Linked DNA regions of Oryza sativa Japonica Group. The main gene of each other region encodes a partner of the protein of the gene in region 2 in a complex. Links are inferred from orthologs where the notes say so. Each region holds a gene or a part of one and is shown on either strand. Other genes may lie near its edges.

Region 1 (3,754 bases), about 27 Mb from region 2:
TAATACAGCGACCAAGCGGCCCAACCTACGACCACCAGACTGCCTACGTGCCATTTTGGCCCACCCAACCCAAATATTGTAGTAGCTCTATCAAACTATATGACTATAAAGAACGTGCACCTTTAAACAAGATTACAAGACAAGTATCAGTTGCTCTAGACTCTGAACCCTTTGTTGTTTACATCATGCCCATTTAACCCCATAACATTAACACAAATAAATTTGTCAAAAAAAAAAAGGTGCAAGAAACTGACTTTACAGGTAGGATGGACAGTGGCAATGTGTAAAGACCAAGCCCCGTGATGTGACACTGCACCTTGGAGTTTCAGCAAAAATCTCTGCAAGTAAATCATTGCATGAATTCAGCTGCTAACACAATTGACGAAATGTATATGACAGCTTAAGAACGGAGCAAAAGGTAAGGAACAATGGAATGCCTTGCAGATGAGCTTACCTGGTGAAATCAGAATTCATCCAAAGCCCACCATCCACTAAAGATTCAATCAAGCAGCTTCAGGGCTTATTTCGCATATACGGTCAGCCTTACTTGAGCTGTGACTTCAGGGTGAAGCTTAATCTCTGCAATGTATTCCCCAATTTCACGAATTTCTGGCACTGTCACGAGACGCTTGTCGACATCCCTACATGAAATAGTTTCCGGTAAGCAAAGCAACAGCAGCAAATAGAGCATCGCAATCCTTCCTTAAAAGGTAGTGATTGTCAGTGCACTTAGAAGGGCATACCTATTAAGTTGTGACTTTATGATGTCAACAAGATCTTGTGCTGTGACGCTGTAGAATAGAAGAAAAACTTGTTATTAAGTGCAAGTAAAATAAGACGATACATAAAGAACTATCTACTCGATAAAAACTTGCCTCCCAAATATCTGTTTTCCTTTCCCACCTTTACGTGGCACTTTGAATGCCCCAATAGTTTCAAAAACACGGGCAAGTTGCTGTGCCTCTTCTTTTACCTACTCAAGCACAAATGCTCAACAGGGTAAGATTATGCTAACACTGGATGAAAGTTCTTATACTCTTATGGAAAATGATATTGGTAGGAACAAATCATGCTTTAGACTTTTTACAAAATAAGCTAAACCACAACTACGTACCCTGGAGAACAAGGATTAGTAGGGTATAACTACCACAGTAGTTTTTAGACAGACAGGAACAAATAGGAATAAGTTTCAACTATATCAATTCTTACTGAGTCCACAAATAGAATAATAGGTTTACTTACCCGCTTCTTTTCAGCATCTATCCTCTCCTGTTCTACTTGCATTTCCCTGTAGACAGCAGCAGAGGAAATTAAGTAGCTTACTAGCCATCCTTTTACAAGAACTAATTGAACATGTTGAACACCCCAGAAGAACTGAACTAGAAATGCAGAATAGGCATCTATAAAAGTTTGCAGATTTATATGTCAATCCTGGGCTCCACAAGGAGGCAAGAGATACAATGGCTAACACAACAGAATAAATAGCTGCAAATTTACACCTGCAGCATACTGTGAAAACCAACTACGATGAAACATAAGCATACGTCAATTAATTTACTAGGAGCACCTATCTGTTGGTTGAAACATAGCCTATACAATTCGTGAGATGTGGTAAATGACTGTAAGACAGAAGATTACTTGAGTACTTCTGGGGTGAGCAGCGTTGCCTTGCCCTTTGGCAGAAGGAAGTTGCGGTAGAACCCGGCCCTCACTTTAAGCGTGTCCCCTTTCTTCCCCACCTCTGCTATGTCATCTGTCAGTATGACCTGGGAGAAAAAGAAACTCAAGTGAAGTAAATCAAATACGGAATCGTGCATTACATGCTAAAGTATAGAAATGCATAATAGACAAGGAAGATGATGACATAGGCTTGGAACATTTTACAGTTTACAGGTGCAAATTTTGAACTGGGTGTATCTAGATGCCTTTTAGTTGCAACTTTCCCTACAAACAAACAGCATGGCCAAACCAACAATTCCGGCGTTCCGGGGCATATACAGAATCATATTAGAGATGACTTTTGCATCTGAGTTGCAATGCTAAGAGGCACCTAATTAAAAACATGACGATAGTTTCTTCCATTTCCATGTACTGCATCAGAGCATGCGTCCATGGCAATGTATCTTTTCCTATACTCAGATGTGTGAATGCACACAGTAATCTTAAGCTTACAGCTGCTGCATTTCGAATTTTTCGATCGATGGAATGCAGTCGCATGCGCTTTGTAATCTACTGTACTGATTAGTGGACAGGGTGGTGACAGACAGTACATTGGGTATGGCTAGTTCTAAAAGAGGCAAAACAAAAGCATCACCAGCAACAGCTTGTTCAATCAGTCAGTACTAGTACTGCTTAGCTCGAACGAATCGCAATTAAATACATACATACATACATGCTGCAACTGTGGAGAGAAAATACAAGTGGAAGCCAAACCTGGCGATACTTCTTGACCTTGCCCTGGGCGACGACGACCAGCGACGGGGAGCGGCGCGGCGGGAGGCGGGAGGAGGGGGCGGAGGAGGAGGCGGCGGAGCTCCAGGCGAGCGTGGAGGCCATGGCGTTGGGGATGGATTGCGGGGGAAGGGAAGGAACTGCGGCTGCTGCTCTCTTATCCACTTCCCCAACGGATTTGGTGCCCTCTCTCTTGGGCTTTGCGCTGCTTTGGGCCTTTCAAATCGGCCCAGTATCAAAGGTTTTCTTCGGGGTTGTCATGGGCTTGAAGATTAAGGGTCATTTTGGTTTGGCGCTCCTTCTTGCCTTACTAATTCTTTGATAACTTAAAGGTCAAAAATAAATTATTTGGTAACTTTGAATAGTTAACACGTAACTATTTGAATTAGAGTCAAATTTTGCTAAATCAATAAGGTGAAGCCAAATAGACAATAACAAAAATTTAGTAATACCAAAATTTACTCAAGATTTGGCATTGCCAATATTTTGGCATGGTTTCATACCAAACAAGTCGTAATAATAATCCACCAAATTGTAACCCCCTTCCACTCAACGTATAGAGAAAGGTAGGAGATATATATGTACGTGATACCTCGACGATATTACTAAGATAGATAGATAGTACATGTGATGCCAAGATGTTATAACATACATTAAGAGAAACACTCAGGGGTCTTCCGGCTAGCTCCACAAGGTGATAGCCTAAATGACCTGGATTCGTAACCTCACCCCTTCTAATTATTTGATATTAGGTCCTTCACTAATATTCATGTTATAACATAAATCGAGAAATATATTATTATAACACTATTTTGGTGCTATCTTGAAACTCAACGATACATCACTAGCTACCATTACGTATAAACGTGTATTAATAGTATAAGCAAATATCAACGAGTATCATCAAGTATCAATGTGCAAGAACGAGTATTAGCAAATACTCCGTATCTTCATGAATAATATCAAAGAGTATAATCAAGTATCATTGTTTAATTATCAACGAGTATCATCAAAATATCATCCTCGTATATCATACTCCAGTATCATCTTGTTGTACTTTTTCTGACAAAGATCTCCAGCTGGTGACCTGTTTCTCGAAAGGAACAAAAATTAAAAAAAAACCTAGCAAATCGTTCTTAAAAAGAATGGCGATTATATATCTTATTGAATTAGTATGTCTACTGCTCAACGAGATGAGAAAACCGAAGAGAAGAGGGGTATATAATCGAGTATATGTCATCGTCGTCGTCATGTCATGCAGCCGTCCATGACTTCGTCCTTCCCGCCATCGGAGAAACCAAAC
Region 2 (3,754 bases):
ATGGCCTTGCAGAACTTCTCTTAGAACACTCGAATAAATCATGACCAGAACTGCATTGAACATAGTACTGTAACTGATCCCAAAATATTAGGACATAGCCCGTTCAATAAACTAAGCACCATTGGTACAGATGCCAAAAACAGTGAAATTAGCATCAGTAGTCACAAAAACTGTATAAAGTTACACAAACCAAAGCTAAAACATCCGTATCGTGGTAAAATGCTCTCTCTTTTTTTAAGCACAGTGAAAATAATACAGTTGGCTAGGATACACAATATCAGAATGAACAAAACAGATGGTGGAATAAACAAAGGATGGAACAACTGGATGACTGGCAGCACTCGAACACATGAACAAAGCAAATTTTGTTCAAAAACTGTTCTTCCAGACAAGAAAAGGTAGCACTCGTATTCTAATGTACTACCAGTTGTTTGTAACTACAGAACTTACAATTGCTCTTAAGCTGGAACATACTCAAGTATCGGGTCAGCAGGGAAGTCCTCGTATCCACTTATGCCGGTAATTCTTAACCTTGTGTTTGGCTGCAAAACAACAGAGATTTTTAATCTAAAAGAACTCTAATTGCTTCGCTGTAAAAACTGAATCAGTATTTATCAATAAAATTCTACCTTTCTTGAAGAAGGTAATTGGAAAAACTTACCTGTCTGTGACCAAGTTTCCTCTGGTACTTCTTCTTCTTCTTATATTTGAAGACTATCACTTTATCATCCCGTCCCTGATATAAAAATATTGGGGAGACATCAGGGTCAAGTAATTTTGAATATCCATGATTAACCCGACAACATACAGAGGACATACCTGTTCCTCAACCACTGCATGAACAGCAGCATTGGTCACCACTGGCATGCCAATGTAAGCCTTGTCTCTAGTTGATACCAGTAATACCTTGTTTAATATTATCTGCACATCAGCATTATCCAGAAGTGAGAATTTCTGGGAAAACAATACTAAAAATGCCAGCAACATAAGCCAACGTATGGGTCCTATGGGATTGGAAGCTTTGCATCAGAGGAGTAATTTTAGTTAGAAAAGGAACGAAGCTAATATATGCAGGCTACACAAAACTTATCGAAAAGTTCTGAATAAGATATTTATGTGAAATCAGGAACTGGGATTGAAGTGTTATAATTACAGGGAAGTGACTCTTTTACTTCTAAAATGAAGTAGGTCACTACCACTTTCCATAATTTCAGAATGTACAACCTTCCTCGTTGTTTTGAAGTTTGTTATTGCATCTCATGGATGAAAAAGAATAATAACCAAATAACCAATACTATATATTTGCCTTTTCCTAATTTACAATCACCTTATCTAGAAGCCACCTCAGCATCATATACCTTTTAAATTTATGGATTAATACAAACCAACTAACTAGCAAAAATAGGCCAAATTTCTAGTTAGGGTGTAACAAGTATCCTCCTGCATCCTCTAAAGTGGAAGCACCAGACCTGATCATTGACATTGGCGCCTTTCAGCCTCTGCGTGTATATATACCTTCCAGGCATCACAATGTACTGTCTCGACCCAATCTGCGACAGAAGAAAAATAATCAAAATAGCTCCCTCGTTATTATTCACAGCGCTCATACAAAACAAAACACAGAGAAACCCTCCTCAGATGCACTCCTGCATATTTCAGAAATGCATCCGAACAATTCTCTGTAAGACTAGTATTGTATCATTCGAAAACACTGTAATTCTCTGCGCCGTTTTCTTAATGGTGTGTCCTGTACATACTAATAATCGGCGTGCGCGCATTCCTATTGGCGCGTGAATCCTAAGCTTCTTATGCAGCATAGAGTAAGCAACACAAGCCTGAAATCAAATGCTCACTTCACCGCAAGAAGCAACGCAACTAGCGCCAAATGCCTGTGTAATGATATTATTTAAAGAATTCGAGGTAATGTAGCATGAACAAATGTGATTCTTTTTTTGTTTGTTTGCAGTGAGCCGAGCAGGACTAAATCTGAAATATTGGCGGCAAGGGCAAGCTAGCCCCACCATGACAACGGCGAAGATGTCGGCGTCCTTCCCGGCGCCCGCGGCTGCGATCTGCGCCTCCACAGGCTCCGGCACCGCAGCCTCCTCTTCTTCAACCTCCTCCTCCTCTACCACCTCCGCCTCGGCCTCGGCCTCCACGGGTGCGGGCGCCGGCTCCTCGGCGGAAGCGAGGAGCCGCCAGCAGCGGCGGGGCGCGGACGCGGCGACGGGGAGGGAGCATCGCGAGGCCGGGAGGGACGGGGCGGAGGGGAAGGCTAGGGTTTTGGAGGCGAGGAGGCGGAGGGGCAGCGTCGCGGTGGCCATGGCCGGCGCGCGGGGGGGAAGAGCAGTGTGGATGAGAGTGTGGGCTATCGTATCGGAAAGAAAGAAGAGGGATAATATTGTGGATAGGGAGGTTACCCTGAGCCGTTCGATTGGAGATCAACGGCTCAGATTAGATACCCATGAAAAACATGAAACTATGCCCTACTAGTTTTTTAGCGATACTGCACGTACTCATTTTGTTTCTCCTTTCTAAAGTTTAGAATCGTTTGATTTAATCAGTTAAAGATTATAAAAGAGTTGGATCGAATGTGTTGATTAGACCATAAAGAATATGCGAATTAACACGAGTGATGAGAACTCTCGTGAACTCTCGGACGAAAGAGCCAAACTGAACTACTACGCCTCCTCGACCCCTCTTCCTCACAGGCTCGGGTGACCTTGCCGCCGGCGAGGTGAGGGAGAGAAGTCCGACAAACTCTCTCTTTGTAGGTCAATCAATTTAGTTGGGTTTTTCTTTTAGTTTGAGCGTGAAGGTCGGCGATGTTGGCCTTCTAGTCCTAGGTTTCATGGAGAAGGCAATCGAAGTTTCTTCTCTAGTGGTATCCCTCTAAAACACCGGGTAATTCTCTATCACCGTGAGTTAGGAGAAAGCTAGACCTAGTTAAGGGAAGTTAGGCAAGTTATCTTTCTTTTCTCCAGCAGGCTTTTCGCAAGGATGATAGTTTTCTTCCTCTTTATTGGTGGCAAACCTTCAAGAAGCAGTTGAGTTTTGTTTGCTATATGCTTGGATTCCTCAACCTTAGGCTATGGAGGCCCTAATAAGGTAAGCTTCTTGGTGCTTTTTTATGCAACTTGCCATGAAATCTTTGTCTCTATCACCAATATCAACGATTAGGTTGTCGACCTTGATGGTTCTGCTCCAAGAACAATCTCATTTAGCTCTGGATGTACTCATCTATGGTATTGATGAACCTTTTCATGAATTGTCATGGCCTTAACCTCTATTGTTGTGAAACCCTATTTGGGAATGCGTCAAGGCAACATCTTCTGTAGCTCGCCGTGTCCATGTAGCACCCACTGCCATCAAGTATGTCACCAGTCACCACCAATGTGGGCATAAGACAGAGGAGGACCTGATTGTTGTTTTTTTTTTCAAATCTTGTTGAGTCCTCCTTTGCTTATATTTTGACCTAGCCATCTTAAAGAGACTATCTTCCGTACTCCCAGTTCTATCAACAATGAACATTGACATGTTCAGTAGTCACATTTCTATGGCATTGCTTCGACTGTGTAGCCGTAGCCAATGCAAGGTATAGCGCACTATTGCTTGGCCTGTTGCTATATGCTGCAGCCCATGCAAGCGCATCAAAGGCTATCAAACAACATTGATAAACTGTGAGACTGTTATCTAAGTTTGTCTTTAAAAACAAGAGTACAAAGGACAACCTTTTTATTATTTGCAATGATAA

What was found. The genes of interacting proteins can lie anywhere in the genome.
Region 1: large ribosomal subunit protein bL21c (region 2) and large ribosomal subunit protein bL9c share a complex: the UniProt entries of both Arabidopsis thaliana proteins name them as parts of the 50S ribosomal subunit. The link is inferred for Oryza sativa Japonica Group from reciprocal best matches to the Arabidopsis thaliana genes RPL21C and RPL9.

Annotation. Positions count from the first base shown.
Region 1 is NC_089036.1:35,819,084-35,822,837, forward strand, and holds large ribosomal subunit protein bL9c, read right to left. Parts: upstream 2,576-3,754; 5' UTR 2,557-2,575; coding exon 2,434-2,556; intron 1,767-2,433; coding exon 1,639-1,766; intron 1,289-1,638; coding exon 1,243-1,288; intron 974-1,242; coding exon 876-973; intron 792-875; coding exon 744-791; intron 642-743; coding exon 521-641; 3' UTR 455-520; intron 339-454; 3' UTR 101-338; downstream 1-100. UniProt on the Arabidopsis thaliana protein: Binds to the 23S rRNA.
Region 2 is NC_089036.1:9,031,145-9,034,898, forward strand, and holds large ribosomal subunit protein bL21c, read right to left. Parts: upstream 2,371-3,754; 5' UTR 2,325-2,370; coding exon 2,022-2,324; intron 1,551-2,021; coding exon 1,470-1,550; intron 922-1,469; coding exon 820-921; intron 737-819; coding exon 662-736; intron 543-661; coding exon 459-542; 3' UTR 213-458; downstream 1-212. UniProt on the Arabidopsis thaliana protein: This protein binds to 23S ribosomal RNA in the presence of protein L20.